2 linked regions of the Rhinolophus ferrumequinum genome follow. The protein of the gene in region 1 interacts with the protein of each later gene in a pairwise test. Links are inferred from orthologs where the notes say so. Each region holds a gene or a part of one and is shown in the gene's direction. Other genes may lie near its edges. The genes, in order: GCC1 and CEP57.

Evidence for each region.
Region 2: the proteins of GCC1 (region 1) and CEP57 interact in binary tests that used the Homo sapiens proteins (3 or more experiments, as listed by UniProt). The two-hybrid records come from large-scale screens. The link is inferred for Rhinolophus ferrumequinum from reciprocal best matches to the Homo sapiens genes GCC1 and CEP57.

The regions. Positions count from the first base shown.
Region 1 is NC_046309.1:18,180,278-18,191,241, forward strand, and holds GCC1 (GRIP and coiled-coil domain-containing protein 1), read left to right. Parts: upstream 1-5,117; 5' UTR 5,118-5,506; coding exon 5,507-6,538; intron 6,539-7,402; coding exon 7,403-8,698; 3' UTR 8,699-10,225; downstream 10,226-10,964. Other genes in the region: ARF5 (ADP-ribosylation factor 5), read right to left, coding at 87-212, 749-820, 1,282-1,391, 1,720-1,800, 2,316-2,382. UniProt on the Homo sapiens protein: Probably involved in maintaining Golgi structure.
Region 2 is NC_046294.1:66,444,843-66,456,375, forward strand, and holds the start of CEP57 (centrosomal protein of 57 kDa), read left to right. Parts: upstream 1-6,140; 5' UTR 6,141-6,345; coding exon 6,346-6,390; exon of another isoform or gene 6,391-6,422; intron 6,423-11,533. Other genes in the region: protein FAM76B, read right to left, coding at 1-131, 1,831-1,986, 3,189-3,243, 4,114-4,178, 5,006-5,092. UniProt on the Homo sapiens protein: Centrosomal protein which may be required for microtubule attachment to centrosomes. May act by forming ring-like structures around microtubules. Mediates nuclear translocation and mitogenic activity of the internalized growth factor FGF2, but that of FGF1.

The DNA.
Region 1 (10,964 bases):
GTCAGTAGCAGGGAACAAAAAGGGAGGGGGGTGCCTTTACTTCCTGCCCCAGCCTGTGGCTCCCTTGGGAGAGGCGAGACCCTCACCGTACGGCTTCGCAAGTGCTGCAGGCCCAGCTTGTCGGTCAGCTCGCTCACTGGCATGGCGTTGGGCATGTCCTGCTTGTTGGCAAACACCAGCAGCACCGCATCCCGCAGCTCGTCCTCCTGCAGCTGAGAGAGGCCAAGGGAGTAGAATCTGGGGTCCTTTGGGGTCTCCAGACTCCCTCTTTCCCACTGTGTAGGGGAGCCCCCTTTTCCCACCTTCTAGCATATTTGTGGGAAAAATATAACATCGTGTAGTCGCCCGCTGAACACAGGACATAGTTATAAGTCAGCTGGAGACCATTTTGGCGTTAAGTCCAGAAAGGACCTTTTTCTAATTTGTTCTAGTACTTGTTCTAGTCAAAATGACAAAATTTCCCAATGGAAAAACAAGAAGGTACGATGATGTTTATCTCCACCGCATATAACTTCCCTCTCCCCAACTTCTCAGACTCAGATGTGAAGACATGAGAATTCAAGGAAAAAGTCAATCCTATACTTTTTACCTGACCCAAACTCAAAACAGGGTGAGATTCTCCATGTACCTGTGTCCACCAAGAGCACTGTACATTCAAGGCCCATGAGGCATTTCCTGACATTCACACCAGCACAGCGACCTCTGTTTCCAAGCTAAGGGCTCAGTTCCCAGGGCCCTGGGTGCTCACCATTTTCTGGAGTTCATCAGCAGATTCCTGGACCCGCTCTCGGTCATTACTGTCCACCACGAAGATGAGGCCCTGGGTGGGAAGGAAGGAAGGAGGAGCAATCACTCCCACCTGGGACATACCCGAGTCTGGCTTTCTCTCTTTAATTGTGTCTAAACCCTTCTCATCTAGTAAACTTCCACTAAGGCTCTGCAGACATCCTGGCACAAAGTGGTGACACCCTGCAAAGGATACATACAGCTTCTGCCCTCAGACAAGCAGTCTAGATAGAAGACATGCATGGGAACAGGGAGACATGTGATGAGAGCTAACTCAGCCTGGACCCAGAACCCTGCTTCTCAGAAGATGCCAAAGGTGGCTGAGTCTCAGAAGACGAAGGCCAGTTCTGAAGGATGAGTAGAGGCTTACCTTACAAAAGGGGGGTTAGGGAGGGGTAAGGCTTTTTCCTGGCCCAGGGGCCCAGCCTAGGCCAACAATTTTCCTAATGCTATCACCTCCTCCCCTGGGGTTGGGGAGACACCCTCGCCCCCCACCTGAGTGTTCTGGAAGTAGTGCCGCCACAGAGGTCGAATCTTGTCCTGGCCTCCCACGTCCCAGACTGTGAAACAGATGTTCTTGTATTCCACTGTTTCCACATTGAAGCCTGAAGATAATTGGAAAAAAATATGAGGAAAAAGTCGTGATTGGAAGGAACTCACTAAACTACAGTGCATTCAGCAGGGACACAAATCAGAAGGCAATGATCAAGGTCTAAGGGAAGAGAAGTCCAGAAGACTGGCAGTCAACTGGCAGGGCGGGGCTAGGTCACATCCACCCCTCCTCACACCATCCAGCAGGTAAAGATAATGTGACCCACTTCTCAGGTAGCTGTATCTGGTGTCAGGTCCCAGCACGGAGACGCAGAATGAGGAGGAGACCCTGAGCTGGCCGCCACGCTCCAGCTCCTCCCAATCTCACCTCCTCTGACTCACCTATGGTGGGGATGGTGGTGACAATCTCCCCCAACTTCAATTTGTACAGGATTGTGGTCTTGCCAGCTGCATCCAAGCCAACTGCAAAGAAGAGGGGCATAGGGATGGAGATGGGAGCGAGGGAGCCCCCTAGAGACCAGGGAAGGGGAGAGGCCAGGACAGCTGACGGTGACAGGGGCGGAGAGCCCGAGAGCTTCCAGGTGCGCGCTGTTATCTACCTTCCGGGCCTTAAGGGCAGTCCGGGTGATGAGCGCCAACTGCTGCCCCTGAAGCGGGCGAGGACTGGGGGTGTAAGGGGTACAGGAGGAGGACCGCGCTCCTTTTAAAAGTGGCCTCCAAGGGCGGAATCCTCCCTTCTTACCATCCGGGCTGGGGCGGAGGGAGCGTCACCCCACCCAGGCCCGCAGCTCCCGGTTTCAGGCCCCGGGAGCGGCGCTGCAGACTGTGACCCGCCCGAGAGCAGTGGCCCCAGGGGTTTAGAAGGTGGGTGACTCAGAGTCAGAAAGCGGGGTGAGCTGGCCTGGAGGGACGCGGGGGCGGGAGGGCTGCGCGGGGGCCGGCGCTCCCGTCCGGGCCGCGCGCTTGATCTGCCTCACCCATAAGGATCCGCATCTGCTTCTTCCCGAAGATCCGCGAAAAGAGCGCGGACACGGTGAGGCCCATGGCGGGGCCCGGGGAGGGGGCACGGACACGGACACCGGGTGCAGGCTGGAACCGGCCGGCCGCGGGGGGATGGGGCGCAGCAGCAGTGGGAGGTGCCGCCACCGCCTCCGCGCGTCGCGGCCCGCCCTACGTCACGGCGGGCCCGCCCCCATCGCGCTCCGCTCCTAGCTCCGCCCCCCGCCCCGCCCCGCGCCTCGGGCTCCGGGAGAAGCCGAAGCTGAGCGAATCTCCGCAGCCTGGCTGGGTCCCGCGCCGGTTTTAAAGAGGGAAAGGGCCAGGGTCTCCCCGTTTCTAGCACGCCTGGCACATCTGTGGCTGTTGAACCGGCAGTCAGAGGGGGGCGGAGGAAAGCCTTCAGTGCTCCGCAGCGGCCCCCACCCCCATGTTCCGTGGCCCGCCGCAGGGCTTTGGTTTGTTGCGTCCAGCTCACTCTGGTCTCCGGTTTAGTTCTTTCTAACTGGCAGCCTCGACTGTGTGCACCACCCTCTTAGAGGTGCGTAAGCTCCGTGCAGTCGTCTTAAGACCTCCCTTTTGCCCCCGCAGCTCCCAGTGAGGGAGGGGCTTGGAGCACAGTAGGTGGTTCAGGAACCGTAGACTCGCCCGGGTGTGCAAGGAAGCAAAGCTTTTCAGTCTGGACCCAGACAGCCTTTCTGAAGTCCTTCCTCTCTTTGCCACAGACCTGGCAGCCTGCATTATTAATGCACACCTATCCAGGATGTGAGGATGTGGTTGCCTCCTTAGGCCCGAAGAGCTTCTCCAGTAATTTCCCCATTCATCTTAGCGTTGGAGGGGAAAGAGCCAGATTGGAATTCATTTAAGTATCTTCTATGGCAAAAACTGGATCATGCCAGGCTTATGCTTAACAAATGCTTGTTAGGTTGAACTGGACTGGTAGGTTGCTCAGTGGAGCGTGGACAGGTGTTTTGCCTGTTCTGGAGCCAAGTTGCTTATGGACTGGACATGGTGAGGTGAGCTGGGAAGCAGAGAACCTTCATTCACTCAGTCAACAAATATTGAATGCCTACTGTATGCCATTGTTCCAGGCCTCCGTTCAAATCTCAGTTCTGCCTTTTTTTGAAGGCTTGCCTTCAACAATCCTCTCAAGCTGTCATTTTCTTATCTATAAAAAGAGACTGATATTTGTCCTATCTCATGAGGTTATGGTAAAGATTAAAATGATGAGATACTGTATCTGAATGTTTTGTATAAAACAGCTGGATGTTTCCTGGGCCACTAAGAAACTGGGTCTGAACAGAGCTCCAGGGCCTGCCCCATCCAGACCTGCAAGTCTGTAAAGAGAACAGACTTTGGGCATCAGGTATGAGTGCATGACTTTACTCTTCAATCACACTTGCATTCCTAGGATGACTTTTACAAGGTCGAAGAATACATTTAAAAGAGTCCCAATATAATAACACAACTAGCGATGAACAAGTCAGGTCAGTTCTACATCTTCAGCTCTTTTATTAGCCTCTTTCTTTCTATCACTGTTGTCACCGCCATATTTCAGTACCATCTCTTCTCCATGACTGCAACAGTCTCCTCACAGTTCTCCTGCCCCTTGCTATTGCCACCCTGGCATACAAGTCTTGATGACACCACTCTTGTGATTAAAATCCTTTAGTGTCTTCTTATCACCAAAGATAAAATCTAATGCCTTAATTTGGATCCCTACCTCCTAGGCCAGCCCCGTCTGTTGCCACCTCCTTCACATACCCTAAACTACTGCCTCGAGATGCTTCTCAATGCTTTCCAGGTGAGCCAGCCTCCCTGATGCCACAGGAGTCCTCGTAATCTTTTCCCTCTGCCTGGAATGCTTGTTTCCCTGATCTCTAGTTAGATGGGTAGTCACTACTCATCCTTCACATCCCAAAGTATTTTCTCTGAGAGCCTTCTCTGCCTCCCCTAGACAGGACTTCCTCCACATCACTTTGAATATACTTATGCATACCGGTACGATGGCAGGACTTGTGTTTGCATGCCTGGTTCTTCACTAGATGGGAACTCCGTGAGGGCAGGACCTTGTCTCATCATAGTGATCACCTGGCACAGCATTTGGTATGTTGAGAGTTGGATTGATCTGGATAGCATCCCTAAACTTAGCTGTGCGACCTTGGGCATGTTACTTACGTCTCTGTGCTTCATGTTTCCATATCTGTAAAACAGTGCTGACAATACCCACTGAGCAGAATTATTGTAATGACTACATACCAAAACTCTTGCAAAGCTCCTGGAATATAGTTGGCACTAAAGACCGACGTCCTGGCCATACGGATGCCCTTTACAAACATTTGTTGCATTAACTCAGCAGAACTCAGGAAGGGTGCTAATAATTATTATACTATACGCCTTCCAGGTGCCAAACACTGTACTAGCAAGGGTTGCAGTGTTCGTGGTTTGAATGAGAGTCTTAATTGTTGCTCTTTAGGGACAAAGGTACTGAGCTCCCAAATAGTGGAGACACGTCGCGAGCTGTTCAGTAAGGACTCAGTGCGACGTCGCCCCCTGTCCCTCGCTGATCGTAGCCTGAAGGCAAGCTCGGGTGAACCTCACGAAATCAACATCACTCGCGTCCTTAGCTTGGCTTGTGCTGCTCTTCCCGGGGAGAGAAAGCCTCGCCAGGTTCCCCACAGGCCGCGGCCGAGCACTCCCCGGCTGGGGTGGCCCCGCGCTCCTCTGGCCACTGGGGCGGAGCCTGCGGCGTCTTGCTGTCGTCACTTCCAGCGGACCCGGAAGCGCCCTTGTCGGGCCGCTGTAGTTCGGAAGTCGCGAAGGGGCTGCGCTCCGCTTAAACCCCTGGCGGACAGTGGGCCGAGGTCCCGCAGGGGCTGCTGTGGCCGGCGCGGGCGGGAGCGCGGGGCAGCTTCTGGGACAGGGCGGGGGCGCCCTGGCTGTGTGCTCCCCTCTTGCCCGCGTCACCCCGCCTCTAGGTGGGAACCGCCCCCGCCTTCCGTACCCCGGACCCGGTGGCGCTTCTGCCCGCTGCCCCGCCTCCCCGCGTCGGTCTCGGACAACTGGGAGGAGCGGGTGTGCGGCCGCGGGGACCACAACGCCCGCCAGCGTCCCCGCGACCGTCTCCCGGGCTGCCCCAACGCTGACGTGGAACCACCCGTTCTGAATCCTCATGGAGAAGTTTGGAATGAATTTCGGGGGTGGCCCCAGCAAAAAGGACCTGCTGGAGACCATTGAGACGCAGAAGAAGCAGCTCTTCCAGTACCAGGCACGTCTCAAGGATGTGGTTCGCGCCTATAAAAGCTTACTGAAAGAGAAAGAGGCGCTAGAGGCCAGCATCAAGGTGCTGTCAGTATCCCAAGAGGCGGATGTGGGCCTGGCAGATGGCCCGCCTCCAGGCCTCACCTGTCCTGACAACGTGGATGACCGATGCTCCACTCACAGCGAGGATAGCACTGGGACCGCCACTAGCTTGGATACTGTCGCCAGTCTCACTAGCACCAAGGGTGAGTTTGGGGTAGAAGATGACCGACTGGCCCGTGGACCACCACCTCCAAAGTCGGAAGAGGCCAGCGGGTCGGAGAGTGGTGTTAGCAGTAGCAGTGGGGATGGACCGTCTGCAGGTGGGGAGGTGGACAAACGATTGCACCAGCTGAAGACTCAGTTGGCTACTTTGACCAGCGCTTTGGCTACAGTCACCCAGGAGAAGTCCCGCATGGAAGCTTCTTACCTGGCTGACAAGAAGAAGATGAAACAGGACTTAGAGGATGCCAGTAAAAAGGCAGAGGAAGAGAGGGGCCGTCTGGAGGGAGAATTGAAGGGGCTGCAGGAGCAGATAGCGGAAACCAAAGCCCGACTTATCACACAGCAGCACGATCGGGCCCAGGAGCAGAGTGACCATGCCTTGATGCTGCGTGAGCTTCAGAAACTGCTGCAGGAGGAGAGGACCCAGCGCCAAGACTTGGAGCTTCGGTTGGAAGAGACCCGAGAAGCCCTGGCAGGGCGGGCATACGCAGCTGGTCAGATGGAAGGGTTTGAACTGCAGACCCGACAGCTGACCCGTGAGGTGGAGGAGCTCAAAGGTCAGCTGCAGGCTCTCCAGGATGAGAAGAATCAGCCAGACCCCCGGCTGCAGCAGCTGCAGGAAGAAGCTGCCTGCCTTAAGAGCCATTTCCAGGCTCAGTTGCAGCAGGAAATGAGGAAGGTAATTATCTCCATCTCCTTCAAAAAGTCATTTAAACCTGAAATGGGAAATATTTGTTTTTCCGCCTTTGATAGATCTCAGTGGCTGCACTGTCAATTTTTGATGCAAAATGTTTTATTGGTGAGTTGGAAATTCTGTTCTATGTGGTGTTGACAGTATCCACAGAGCATGTTTCCAACAGGATGTAGAGTTTCTAAGTGTAGGCTGGGTTGGAGCCAGACAGATCTAGCATTGGCATCTTACCCGCTGTGCTCTGCGAAGCAGTACTGTGGCAGACATGCAGTGAAAAGGTCGTGTGTCTGACTGGAGCTGTATGCCTATGTGTAGGTAGTGGTATATGCCTATAGGAAGGATGGCTGAAGGGGGAAAAGGGAGTTTTCTCAGAGGAAATGACCTTTTGTAACGGCTTTCAGCCAAGATTTTGCCAACTCTGGAAAGGTATTCTATTTTTATAGTGCCTCCATTCAGTGTGGAGAGAGGTCCAACTCAGTTTTGATCTTCCAGGAATATTGGAAGAGATGATTCCATAATAAGATTTGGGGAAACACATGATAAATGAAGAAAGCACTCTTTATACGTGAGTTTGGTGTATGATAGGAGACAATGGAAGTACGAAACCAGAATAGGAGCAGGTATGCAGAGGTTCTTAATTGTTTGGTATAACATGTGTCTGTGAGCAGAACGCAAGCAAGTTACAGGAACTTTTGTTAGCTCCCAGATCAACCAAAAAATCCCCAGTTCCCGTTCTTGCCAGGCCATCCCCATTCTGTGACTCTTTGGCTGTCCTCTCTGGTGCTCTCAAAGTTTGCCATAGCGCTTTGTGGCGTTTCTGGATGCATTTCCATCTGTTTCCTTGTTTTACAGGCAGCCCTCGCAGAGGATCAACGACGTCAGCAATCTCAGCTGGAAGAGCAGAGGGTGGCAGCCCTGGAGAACCAAATATCTGAGGTGTCGGAACTGCTGGGCACATATGAGAAAGCCAAGCAGAAGGACCAGCTGGCCATCCAGAAGCTGAAGGAGCGCATCATGCAGCTGGACCTGGAGAACAAGACGCTGGCTCTCGCAGCCTCCAGCCGGTCCCCTCTAGACAGCCATGGAGAGGAGTCCAGTCTGGACGTCAATGTCCTGAAGGACAAGATGGAGAAGCTGAAGAGGCTACTGCAGGTGGCGACCAGGAAAAGCCAGGTGACCTTGGATGTGGAGAAGCTCTGCGACCTGGAGATAATGCCCAGCTCTGAGGCCGCTGACGGGGAGAAGGCTACCGTGCTCTACTACCAACAGGAGCTGAAACAGCTGAAGGAAGAGTTTGAGAGGTACAAGGTGAGGGCCCAGGTCGTCCTCAAGAGCAAGAACAGCAAAGACGGCAACCTGGCCAAGGAGCTGGAGGAAGCCCAGGAACAGCTTGCAGAGCTCAAGGAGAAGTATATTTCCCTGCGTCTGTCCTGCGAGGAGCTTGAGCGCCAACACCAGCAGGAGGCCGAGGACTGGAAGCAGGAGCTGGCCCGGCTACAGCATCACCACCGGCAGGAGCTGGAGCGGAGCCAGCTGGAATTCAGGGACCGCACGCTGAAACTGGAGGAGGAACTGCACAGGCAGCGCGACCGGGCGCTGGCCGTGCTGGCCGAGAAGGACCTGGAGCTGGAGCAACTGCGCTCCGTGGCCTTGTCCTCCGGGCTGCCGGGACGCAGAAGCCCTGTGGGTGGCGGAGGTCCTGGGGACCCGGCCGAGGTCACTTCCTCGGAGAGCCTGACCCAAGCCCTGCAACTAGCTGCGGCCAACGAGCCTACTTTCTTCCTGTACGCTGAGCAGTTGGCCCGCAAGGAGGTGGAGATCACGTTGCTGAGGAAACAGAAACACAGGCTGGAGGTCGAGGTCCGTCAGCTGCAGGAGCGGCTGCTGGAGGAGGGCGAGCGGCATCGTGAGGAGGTCGGGGTCCTGCAGAGCCACATTGAAAAGAACTTCAGGGACCAGAGCCGGGAGGGAGCCAACCTCGAGTACCTCAAAAACATCATCTACCGCTTCCTGACCTTGCCCGACAGCCTGGGCCGCCAGCAGACACTCACAGCCATCCTGACTATCTTGCATTTCAGTCCCGAGGAGAAACAAGTGATCATGCGGCTCCCCCCCAGTGGGAGCTGGTGGCCTTCTGGCAAGAGATGATGCCGTTTTCACTGCCTGGAAATTTCTGTGCCTCTTCTGTGGGAAGGGACAGGTTCTGGTTTCTACTGCCCCTTCTCTTAATCTTTTCTTTCTTCACTGTGTTGAACTGGGAGGAGTCTTCAACGTAGGGTGGGATTTTCTGCCAAATGCCATTAACTCCGCTTTACCCCTTGGGCCCTAGAGACACTGGAAGAGTTGGGACAACATCTTCTGGTGGTGTGTGTGTGAGGGGGAGAGGCAGGAAGAGGTTGGGATTGAGAGGTGCAAAAGTTGGGGAAGTGGTGAAAATCTTTAAAAATAAGACTTCTCTGTTTTAATATTATGCTCCTAGTGCAGAGCTAGGAGTAAATGTGACTCCAAAGGGAGTTCAGTTAATTTCTAAACACACACAAGGACCAGCTGTTTTCTCCATCAGCACAATCTGAGTCTGGTCCACTGCTGCCCCAATTCTCTGGGGATACACATCCAGGCTGAAGAGGGACCAGGAAGTTTGAAATAGTGACAGCTTGCCCACTAGTCCAAAGGGCCAAGGAATAGGGAGTTCATCCTGGAGCTGGGAAGCTTGGTTTAGTTAGGGCTGGGCACGACTTAACCAGTCTGGACAAAATGCTCCACTTGTGACCATTGTAGAGAGAGCCCTGAGCACCAGTTCGATCTTAGGGATTTCCTGAGTGACCTGCTTTTCGTCTGGATAGAGTTACCATAGACCCTTCCTGCTTGTCCCTGCCTTAACCTGCCCGCCTGAGGTTGGCCTGAGATTGTGCGGGAATGACTTTGCTATCTTCAGTGTGGAACTTCCATTGCAAAAAAAATTCTAGCTTCTTACAGAGCGGAGTCTGGTCAGGAAGCTGTGGTCCTGCCTGGATGCAAGGAATTAGTGCAGAGATATACAGGGCAGAGGAGGAAGACCTACTGCAGAGGATTCCAGAAGATTGCTGTGAGTGAGCCTCATAGGAAAAGTGGCGGAAGTTCAGCCAAGGCTGGGCCAGGGTGCTTGCTGCTCCGTGGACAGCATTCTGGCTAAATGTCCACGTCCCTGCAGCCAGGGTATTCATGGATTACAGTTACCAGAGTATATTGCCCACTCCCTTGAGGAGGTAATTGAGTTTCAGCCCACAGTCCTCATCTTCCCCACTCGTGTTCCTATAACTTTTCCTCCTCCCACAGAGTTTCTTCCATTTGGTGTTGCGTAAGTAGATTCATTCTGCCCTTACGGAAAGGAGGACACAGACTTCTAAGTCAGGTTCAAACAGTATCTGTGCGTTCCTTGCCCCCATCTGCTCTTGCTGGTCTTTGGATCTTAAAGACCAATGCTTTGCCACTCACTGAACAAATACATTTTTTTCCTGTTATTTCATCATAGAGATCTGGTTTGTGAGGGTTTGGGATGCAGAAAACTTTTGATTAAATGTTCTGATTGGGAGGCTGGGCAACCTGGACTATCTACAAACAGTGAGTGGAATTAATGGAACAGAATTGATGTGCTCAAATGATAATAACATAAACCGTGGAATCATTAAACCTGAACAACTTGACCTGTGTGCTTTTGAATGGTACACACACACACACACACATACACACACACTCAATGTGAATATAAATGGTAAGTTCAAAGGATGGAAATAATATATTAATCCATGAGCTTGAATCTAGGGAGGAATGCCTCAATGCTTAAACAGTCTCAATTACAACACAAATTTTTTAGCCTACAGTTATGTGTGTATGTGTATGTTTGTGTGTAGGCAGCTACACTGGAAAAAGATGTCTCATGGATTTAGTGAGTGGGCTTGAAACTTCCATAATTACTTCTAAAACTTTAGAAGTAATCTTTTTATGAATGCTTTGCTCTGCTTCCAATCCGGATTCATGGTATCCTAGAAAAGTTTCTCAGTACATCATTAACATAAACTAAATCATCATCTCTTTATTTTCTTACCTGATCCCCTTACATATAAGATATGTTCTTGTTGTTCTGGGTGGTTTTGGACAGAATACAAAGATCCCTAATCACAGTTGCTTTCCTCGGGCTAACAATTCTTGTGCTTTTTACTTTTGAGAAGATTCCAAACAAGCAAAGAAGCAAGTCAATTTCTGATTAAGTATCGATTTACCTAAGGCTCTGAATGCTCCCCACTGAAACAAAAAGTCTTGGTCCCTCCCGACCATTAAGGTCACAGGTTCCTTGTCACTCCACTCCTTTCCCCCAAATACAATTTTCAGTTATTTGATTGCTTTGCACTCTCCGAAAGAGAAAGAGAAAGAATGG
Region 2 (11,533 bases), on another chromosome or scaffold:
TCTTTCTCAGTAAGAGATGAAGAAGATGAATTTGAATGTGAAGATCCGAGGCTCTTCCTTTGTTCTTTTGTCTTCTGTAAAACTCTCTTATATGACAAAGTACAGAGCCAGCATAGTAACTTTCCATCAACCTTTTAAAAGAAAATATTTGTATTAGATTAAATGTACCTGTAAACTGGCCATAGGTGAAACCAGGTAAGAGAAGTGCTTCTAGCTATATTTCTCTATCTCAAACACATACACAGTTGAAAAGTTGAAGTAAAACTAGACTTTTCTGAAACTTGGGAAAATGCTTGTTTGGAGGATCATAAAATTGATGAGGATGGTATGTGGACTTCCATTAGTTTTGAGGCATTTTTTAATTTGGAGAAACTTGTTTTATTATTTGGAGAATAAGCATAAATTGATATAGTTCAAAGAAATCTATGGAATCACTAGACTGAATTCTTAAATCACTGTGTAATTATTAAAATGACGGAGTATTTTCCACTACAGTAAAAACAGTTACTTTATAGAAAAAAGGAGAGCTCGGATGACATCTACAGTCAATTCTCATTATTTGCAGATTTCTCATTTCTAAATTCATCACCTACTTGCTAAAATTTATCTGTAACCCCCAAATCAACTTGCAGTGCTTTCGTGATCATTCATGCATATGTACAGAGCAGCAAAAAATTTGTGTAGCCAAATGGCAAACCCTCCCCGCTCAGGTCAAACAAGGTGATGCTCTGCTGCCCTCTTCCTTTATCTCTCATACCTTAAACAAATCCTCGTCATCTATTTAGTGCCATGTTTTTTGCATTTTTGTGCTTATCAGTGATTTCACTGTTTAAAATGGTCTCCAGGTGGATCGAAGTGATGTATATAGTGTTCCAAAGCACAAGAAGGCTGTGATGTACTTTATGTAGAAAATATGTGATAGATAAGCTTCCTTCAGGCATAGTTATACTGCTGTTTGCATTACAACTGTTAATCTATCAACGATATATATTAAGTAAGGTGTCTTTAAACAGAAACACACACAAAACAAGATGTATTAATCACCCTGTTGTGACCAAGTGGCACGAACCTAATCCTGTATTGCCCTTAGGAAGTATTCACTAATTCAGTATTTGCAGCAACTTTACAGAACATAACTACTACAAACGACGAGACTCAATTGTACATGTCACGGGGATAGAAAATGAAACTTCTTCACTAATTTCTATCTTCTAATTGTTCATACAAGTGCCGGGGGGACATTTCTTACAACTAGGATACATATGTTGCTGTGGGGGGATCTAGGGGAGCCCCTCAAAGAGAGTCATCCTGCAAATCAACTGAAACTGAGAGACAACAGGAGGTGAATGCTGATCAGCAGAGGAATACCACACGCATACACATTCTTTTTAAGTCATTGCAGGTAGAGGAAAACAAACAATGGTTTAAAATATGAGCCCCAAATCAAAAGGCACAAGAGTAACTTTGAATCATGTTAATGAGCTATAATTTTTTCACATCACCAACCTCAAGTAACCAGCAAAAGGGTAAGTAGCTGCAAGCATTTAAAAGTTAGCAATTCTCCCAAACCAACTGTTGGATAACCAAGTAGTACAGAATAGCCATCACAGAATGTTTTTTAAAATACAGTGATCTCAAATGATCAACATGAATCTATGTATGATGCAAACAAGGAGAAAATGCACTGTTCCTGCACTTTCATCTAACTACCAGCTTTCAGGGACCCAAAGAATACATCAAGTCTCAATAGTATATTAATTACGGTAACTTCCAATTTGTTTGCTGTTTTATTTCATTTCCAGAATATGCCATAACATAAATAAAGCATACCTTCCTTCTCCCTTCCTCCTTCCTATCAAAAGCGCATTGTTGCTTGCACTGTTCACAAGTCTGAGGTGGTCCATATTTTTTTTCTGAATTTGTACATCGCTGACACTTTGTACCAATAAACGCTGCAATTATGTTACAGTATTGACAAGGCTTAGGCTGAAAAACAAACACATGTTTTCTTTAACAGAGACATTTGAAAATATTAAAAATCTGCTATACAAAGTAGACTTCTGGGTTAATTAAGGAAATGAACAGGTAACAAAATTTGTGTCAAATCAAATCAGTAAGTCCTCACTTAAGGTCCTCAACAGGTTCTGCGACTAAACAAAACAACACGTAATGAAACCAATTTTACTGTAGGGTAACAAGAGGTAAGCTCCTATGACATCTCATCGTACGACATCGCATCAGTGTCATAACAAGAAACATTTGAGGACCTGCTGTATGTTGCCATAATCGATAAAATTTATCGTGTTTCTATTCGCTTAGTAAAATTTATCCTAGTCGTGAAACTTTTTGTTTCTGTATTGAATAGTTAAAAAAGGTCATGAGTAACATTTATGATTCACGTAGTATGTTATATAATGAAAAAGCTACATGTGAAAAGGGTCTTAAAAAATAAAAATAAAGGTATGCATTGATAGGAAATTTTCACATATGCAGTTATTTGGGGGAACAAACCTCTACTAACATGACATCCTACTTAGTTAACATCATTTATTCAAAAAACGTTTAACAACTTTTATCACATACAGGTACAGATGATACAAGGAATATATACTTTAGGTGAATTTTCAACTTTAAAAAATTGGCATAAGCACATTCAACATAAACTATAATAAACATACCTTGATTTTCTTTGACATTCAAAAGACAATTCAGGATTTCCTAGAGCCTTAAGGCCAGTACTTTGACTAAACATGACTGTAATACACCAGTAATGACTATAATACATATGTAAGAAAAGAATTTATACTAGAATAATGTCATGACTTTTGTGAATAAATGCCTGAATTGTGCTGCTATATAAAAATTATTGGAGTTTCTGAAGGGAGAAAAGTATGATTATGCAAATTTTATGGGTAAGGTGCTTCTCCATAACCAGTAGTTTGCTATATTTGAATCTTTACAGAATAAAATCACAAATTTTACACTTTCAATATGTATAAAACAGGCTCATGACTGTTTTTAAATGTTGTCATCTTCTCATCAGACTATCTACAGAAAATTTCTTTCCTGAAATATTTTGATATGTTGAAGTATTTAAGAACACAGCTATACATATTTTTTAAAGGTTCATCTTTGTGAAAATTATTAATTGACCAATAACAATACATGAAAACATATGACATACTTACAGTGCCAAACTGCTTCACATTTTGAGCACACTTCTTACAAATTGTATTAGTTTTGCTGAAAAGGAAATGATATATAGGTGATCAAATTTATGTGGCTTTCTCAAGTAATCAGAAAAACGCTCAACTAAAGCAGAGTACTATTTGCTTTAGTAGTATTTAAAACTTACTCTAATATAAACCAAAGATTTTTTAAAACTACAAACATAGGATCCTTTTAGGGTTGTTATGTTATTCAAATTTATTCCTCTTCCATTAAGATAAATGTTTCTATACATTTTTGTTGTATATTTTTTGGTAAACAAAAGAATCCTAATGTTTTCTATCTTGTTCCAAAACCTTCACACTTGCCACTACTTACGCACAGCATTACGTATCAGTGCTTACCTAACCTTGCACTGAGCCTTCTCCAGTAGACATCATAGTACTGCTATGGTGCCTACACCAACTTATGAAGAAATTGTTTTTCTCTTAGGCTACTCTCACGTATGTGCTCTAATTCTCTAACAGGAATCATCCTATTAAAAAAAAGTATGTGCTGTTCTTCCACTGGTAACAAGTTACGAGTAACCTTTCCTCAGGTCTATGTCAGCATTAATGTGCCTTTTTTTTTTTTTTTTACTTTAATGTGCTTAATAGTACCTACTTATGTCTGAAATGTCTGAATTTTTCATTAGCAAGGCTATACACTTTCCACACAATAATTTCTTCTTTTCTCATGTGCAAACTGAAGCCTAGGTCGAAAACAACCATTAATTTCTTTGTCAACTTTCTCTCTCCTATGTCTAAAAGGTTTACACCATAAAATTTAAGACGCTAAACCATTAAAAAACACACACTTTAATACAAGTATGGAGTTACAACCCCCAAGTATTCCCTACAGATAATACTTTGTCTTTAACAATCAAAAACTGTTCAGTATACAAACCTCTCTTGTTGAAATTCAGATCTGCAGTAAGTACATTTTACAATAGGATGCGCAATCCGACATTCCTGTAATAAGACAATGAATTAGTCAGTATCTATCTCAAAGTCCCAAATTTCACTTTTCTGGTAGAAAATTGTTACCTAACCTAGTCAAATGTCTAAAACATTAATAAAATCTGCCCCCCCAACGTAAACAATTGGGTGATTTATCATATAAGTGGCCAATTACAGCGTAATTCCGTAGAGGAGGCATAGGTGTCTTTGTCTTTATTACATGGGGGAGGATATGCTACAGATAAATTAAGAAAGCTGTCAAGGCCGATTTCAAGGATTGGTTAAATGTGAAACTACTTATTATTTTGCACCGTTGCTCCCAGACAGCATCCCGGCTTTAATGGGATGGGAGGAGCTCCAAATCATAGAGCATTCTGTTCCCAAGCCAGTCGCTTCGCTTTCCTGGGCAGGAAAGAAGGATGCCATCAGCTTTGCTGCTTCAGGTTCCTAGCAAGAAAGTGCAAAAACCGTCCCCTGCCTCCCGGTGGAAGGAGAGGACAGACCAGGCAAAAAACCCAGATGAAAACATCTCCACCCCAGGGTCTCTGCGGCATAGACAGGTGGCTGCCTCACTCAGCCCCACCCCTGAGACCCCCGAATGTTGCTGGGGCCCGGCCCACTCCTGGGCCTCCAGGAAGAGGGCAGGATTCTGTCTTCTCTCAGGGGCCTTTCCCAGCTGATGCCCAGGTCATCCAATAAAGGGATCCCCCGGTGAGGGGGCGAGGGCTCCAAACCCCCGGCGCCGGCAAAGAGAGCGAGACTGCAGTGCAGCGGGCACCCAGCTCCCTCAGGCTATGGCCGAGGAAACCCCGCCCGCCCGCCGCCCAGCGCCCACGGACCTTGCAGAGCTGCTGTCCCTGGGAGAGCTCCTCGAAGGGATAGCGCTGGGTACATTTGGTGCAGGCGTACAGGGCCGAGGCCGCCATCCTGCTCCTCAGTCTCCTCCTCCACCGCCGCCCGCTCCGAGGCGGGGCCCTACGGAGAACTCGGGCGCCGCCGCCGCCGCCGCCGCCGCCGCCCGGGCCGCGGGCTCCTCCTCCTCCCCCTCCCCCTGCCGCGCGCCCACCAGGGCCTTGCCGCGAGAGCCCAAGGCCCTGTGGACGCCGCCGTCTCCCTCCGCCTCCACTTCCGCCCCAGCCCACCCAGTGACGCCGTCCCAGCCGCTCCCGCTTAGGCCCCGATAGCGGCGGAGGGAGACGAAGCGGGTAGTTCGCTGCAGTTCAGCTGCGCGGCAGCGGATCCGCTTCCTTCTCGGCCTCCCCCATTCCTGATTAGCTGGGGAGGTTACGCGTCACTCGGACGCTCCTCCCAACCCCTAACCCCGGCGACGCAGGGAGCTCCCACAAAGGGAGGAAGTCGCCGGCCAATAACAGCCCGCCGCTCTCAGCGCGCGAAAGCCGCTTTAAACTCGCCCCGCCCAAAGGTCTGGGTCACGGCTATTTCTAGTAGCCGGTGTCAGGTCTGCGTGAGCGTTTCCCAATCCAATTGGGTTAAGTGTTCGCGAAGACTTACTCTCTGCCTCAACTGCTTTTTCACTTGATTTGTATTGGACCAAATCATTCAGCCCCCCTTCCTCCCCCATTCTACCTGCTACAGATCAAAAGGTAGGTACTTCACCTGGAGAGGCGTCCCCGAGTCAAGCTCACGCTCTCTTTGGCGTTTGGTCCCAGGGAACTGATCCAGGGAGTGTTTGAATTTCGCATTCGCTTTAATTCTACGTCAACCATTCGATTCAATTACCCCTAGAGACCAAAACAACCCCTCGCCCACGTTTCCGCCCGCAGAACACCCGCCCCTCCGTAGAGTGTCCTCTAAGCTGTCTAGTAGCCCCCAGCGTTACCAGCCTCCGCGATCGCGGCTACGCGCTACCTTGTGACGTCACCGAGGGACAAGACGGATTCGCTCCTACTACCGGAAGACGTCCGCTTTCTTGATTGGCTATTCAGAACGTCCATTAGGACGTGTCGCCCTGTCCGTGTACGCTCTGAGCGGGGCGGGAGGCAGGGCGTCCCTGCGTGGGAGTGTGGCGGGGGTTTCTAGACCTTGCACCAGCATCGCAGCCCCTTCCATCAGGGGCTCGGCTAAGGGTCGCCCCTGGTGGGCGGCTGTCGAATCTGGAAGAAGAGCACGAGAACCCAGACCGCCCGGGGCTGCGGAGGTGTGCTGGGCAAGAAGGAAGATGGCGGCAGCGTCGGTGTCTGCGACTTCAGGTTCTCAGTTCTTGGTAAGAAGCGGTTGACATTCGAATAGGCCCAGGTGGGTCCTGGCGCCTCTCTGCGTTTTCTCACCCTTCAGAGCGCTCTCAGCGCAGCGTCTCATCCCATCCTGGGAAACGGCGGGGGGCGCCTAGAGCGCCCCGTGCTGCCCTGGCGTCCACTGCTCCTCTGTGGAGGTTGCAGCCTTCTGTTGAAACAGGCCTGGCCCATCTTTCACTCACATATCCCTTGCACCTTTCGGCCTAGCAGCCCCTGTTACCGAACATTGCCAGGACCCGCTGGGATGACTGTACCCACACCCTGAGTAGCGAAAACATTGCTCCTTTGGTCACGTGGGTGTAACGGCCCTTCTTGGAATCTCGCCGAGACCAGGTTGGAGCGCTGGTCGGCTTCGTTGGCAGCTGTTGAATAGTTTGCAGTCTCCAGTGCATATTAGTCCTGCTTAAGCTGATTATTGTGCCTCCTCCCACCCTGCCATTAACGTTGTTCTGTGCTTACTCTACCCAGAGCGCTTGCTTCCCACCTCCCACCTTAGTTAGGACTGCAACATGTAAATACCCTTTTAGGGAAGCAGGGGGCAGCAGATCTTAATTGGTTTTGCCTCCAAAAAGGGTCACTAACCAGGTAAGTCACTAATATTTGTCGAATTGGAATGTCGAACACTTAGCGTTTTGGTTACCGCAGCACTGGGAATACTGTAGATTGGCAGTAAATGTGAGGAAGCCCGACTTTGGAGCCCTTATCTCTTGATTAGTAAATGTTAAGTGCCTGGCATGCTTTTAAGGCTCCAAGATTACACAGATGAATAGGATGGAGTCCCTGCTTGAAAGGGCAACGCATTGACGGGAAACTACACGCAATTATATTTTTACACAGTACAGGTTGATAAATGCTACCATACTGGAATAACCTAGGCGAGAGTGATTAGCAGTGCTTGGGTATGCTAGGGACGGTTTCCTAGAAGGGAAGATGGAGCTAGCTGGATGGTGAAGGAATTGTAAATGCTTGTTACAAGAACAGAAAAGGAAAGAACACCGCAGGCATATGGCGTATGTGCCAAGACAGTAGGTAAACTTGAAAAAATTTGGGAGGAGTAGAGGTAGTATGGGAGTGGGGTTGTATTAGATGAATTGTAAAAGTAGGTAAAAGATGGGAGAAAAGGATAGTGAAAGAAGAAGCAGGAGGCTATCAGGGTAAGTTATATCATAGAAGCTAATGGGGCAGTTTAGGGAACATTAAGAGAGAGCAGAGTCACCTTGATAAAGATACACTTTTCTTCAGTTTCAGTTTTTGGTGGCTATTATGAGGATTTGTGATAATAGGCTAGAAATAACCTTCAGGGTTTCAGCAGAAAGGGGGTAACACGTTTGCAGAGAAGTCAGGAAAGGTTGAGAAAGTATGAAGCACATGGAGTTCAATCAGGAAATAGACTGGTAAAAGTAGATAAAAGAGGAACCATTAGACTGTTAGGAGCAAGTGTCATAAGTAGATGAGATTATATAAGTCTTGATTAATTCAACTTAATTGGGAGAAGAGGGCTTTTCACTGCCCTCAAAATGTAGCACTGGGAGACTGATCAAGGAATTCTCTTATACAGGCATACGTCAGAGATATTGCTGGTTTGGTTCCAGACCATGGCAATGAAGCAAGTAGTAACCTTTTTGCTGGGGGAGGGTCTTGCTTTCAGTTTGCGAAAAATAACGCAGCATCGATGAAGTGCAATAAAGTGAAGCACAAGAAAATGAGGTATGCCTGTAAATGTTGAATTGTACTGCACTCTGCTGAGACTATCGAGCTGAGCAGTGGTACTGAGATGTGGTCAGTCCTTACGCAGTCTTTAAGGTAACCTGGTCAGAAATCCTACAATGGGTGTAATAGGAAAGCATACATATTTTTATATATTAAACTCAGCTTTAAGTGGATTCTAAATGTCAAGAATACATTAAGATTATCTAGGACCCTTTACAAATGAAAGCATAACTAACCTTCTTAATTAACTTGACCTGCTACATCAAAATATCTAATTTGTAAGTCACTATGTCTCAAAACAAAAATGACTAAATTTAGTTTATCAGTGTATAAGAAATAGCCCTGCTTAGACACTGTCTTGTGAGAAACAAGGCTGGCATTTCCAACAGAATTTACAAAGCACTTTGGCTTAATAAACAGATGACCATAAAATATAACACAAAGAGCTTTTAAAACTACAACATGAACTCAGAAGGGTATTCATATTCAGATTTTAAGGTTGTGAACATTAACATTTCATACTTACTCAACTTTAATAAGTCCAGCATGGAGCTAGCTATAGTAAATAGAGATACTTTTACCAGGCAAGGATTTTTTAACAGGTAGATTCAAAGTAACAGACTTCAGAGAGCAGCTACCATATAAACGTCAATTATGAACAACATGGAAATAGGCGATACATTTGAATTGTGCTTTTAAGTAGTCTTTCACTGCAAGAGTAGCAACAGTGGGTAACAGTGACATTTGTTGAGTGATCGGTATGTAGCAACTGATTAGTGGAGAGTAGCAGGAAAACAAAGATTGGGCATAAAGATATTAAACAGAAGTACAGGCAGCATAGTCTAGCAAACAGAAGAATGTCTTTTCTGTCAGTCCTTTTTTATTTTCCTAGTAACCATGATCAACACCTGGGACTCTTTGGACTTAATAAGCTAATCTTCTAATTGGTCTCCCTGGCTTTTTAGCCAAGCCCTTTAATCAACCTGTTCTTTATTTCTCTTTAAAATGTTTTATGAATATTTCATAGAGTTTATAACATTAAACCATTGAACATATAAAAATTTATTTTTAATAATACAATGACTTACTTTCATGCCCCTGTTTGCACCTTGCTTTCACACACACCACCATACATTTTGAGATTATAATAATGCATAATATTAATACTTATTAGTACTACCTGGCAGTCATTTTAAATACTTATCATATATTGACTCATTTAATCCTCAATAATTTTATGAGGTTGGCATTAGCATTTCCATATTTGAATGAGCAAAATGAGGCACAGAAAGGTTAAGTCAAAGCTGCTTTTTTTTTTTTTTTTTTTTAAGATTTTTTATTGGGGAAAGGGAACAGGACTTTTTTGGGGAACAGTGTACTTCCAGGACTTTTTTTTCCCCCAAGTCAAGTTGTTGTCCTTTCAATCTTAGTTGTGGAGGGTGCCGTTCAGCTTCAAGTTGTTGTCCTTTCAGTCTTAGTTGTGGAGGGCGCAGTTCAGCTCCAGGTCCAGTTGCCAGTTGCTAGTTTCAGGGGGCACAGCCCACCATCCCTTCTGGGACTCGAGGGATCGAACCGGCAACCTTGTGGTTGAGAGGATGTGCTCCAACCAACTGATCCATCCGGGTGTTCAGCGACAGCTCAGCTCAAGGTGCCGTGTTCAATCTTAGTTGCAGGGGGTGCTGCCCACCATCCCTTGCGGGACTCGAGGAATTGAACTGACAACCTTGTGGTTGAGAGCCTACTGGCCCATGTGGGAATCGAACCGGCAGCCTTCGGAGTTAGGAACATGGAGCTCCAACTGCCTGAGCCATCGGGTCGGCCCCAAAGTTACTTTTATATTTCTGTTACCCATGAATGAATGTCCAGCCTATAGAAAAGTTTTATAAGAGTTTATTTGAGCCAAAATTTTGAGGACATGTCTGGAAGCAAAATCTCAATGGATTGAGATCGTGCTCCAGAGAATGGCAGTTTTGCAGCTTATCCCGTACACTAGAATCAAAGGAGATGTAAGGACGGTTACATGAAATCCATTGGTTGTAGATTAAGGAGGTGGGAGGCAGCAAAGCAGGGAAATCTCTAGGATTGAATAAAAAACAAAATAGAGAAATATACTTTTACATTGGTAGATACAGGATAAAAATTAACATTTACAGTACATAGAGATGGTTTGCTGGGAACAAGGTAATGCGGGGTTCTGTGGTCTTATGATCTGGTCGTCTTGTGCTGTGGTGCCTCTTCCTGTGCCTTGAGGGGTCGAGGAAAAAAATTACTCTGACATTTCAAAGGTGTATTATCCTAGATGCATAAGAACAGTGGACAGAATTCACTTAAGATAATGATTGACCTTTGCTAAGGAAGCTGTAGTCCTGCGATGTGATTGTCGGCCAAAGCCTGCCCTGTTAGGAGTTTATGATTAGACCATCCTGTGTGGTTACTTTTGGTCACTGAGCTTGTCAGGCCTGCCATGTGGCCACCAGTAGCTTGTCAGGTTTGTTATGTAGTCCCTCTTTGTTCACACTGTACAGTATGGCATCTTGATGGGCTTTGGGTTTTTAGGATTTGTTGTTCATTAGTTTGTTTGCCAGCTATTTTAAACAGTCTTGTTGTGATCATCCCTGTAAGTTGCATACTTGCAAAAATTTTTCTAGAGCAGCAGTTCTCAAAGAGTGTTTTGAAGACCTTTGGGGTTCCCTGAGTCCTTCTCAGGACGGTCTGTAATGTCCTTCCTTAACCCAACCACTTTGTGAGAGACCAGATTTTCTTCACATACATCAACAAAAACAGTATGTCTAACAGTGAATGCAGAAGCAAATATAAGAATCCAACACCCTTTTAAGTCAAGAATTAAAGAGATTTGCAGGAATGTAAAATAATGCCATTCTTTTCACTCAGTGTTTTTTGGATGACAGTTATTTTTCACTCAAATATTAACATCTTGGGTTTATTATTTTTAAATTAGTAAATATCTTTAAATTTTCTTAGTTTAATTTTTAATATGATAAATATCAATAGATATAACCACATAAGCAAAAGCTCTTTGGGGTCTTCAGTAATTTTTAAGAGTGTAAAGGAGTCACAAGTACAAGAAGGTGGAAAGGGACAGGTCTGGGGCAGTGATTTTTCAAACTGCCTGTTGGGCTGTTACTTACAGTTCAGTAGTGAGTGTGGAATATGTTTAGTGACTCAGGACACATAATTTTTTAAAAAAAGAGGAGAGACAGAGAAAAAAATAGCAAATTCAGCAAACATACCTGTACATGAAATTTCTGAGTCATAGAATATGTGTATCTTTGGCTTTATTTGGTAATGGATAAATTGTTTTCCAAAGCAATTGTACCAATGTACATTCCCACCAAGAGTCCACTTTAATCTGTATCCTCTCTAACAAGTAGTAGCGTCTCA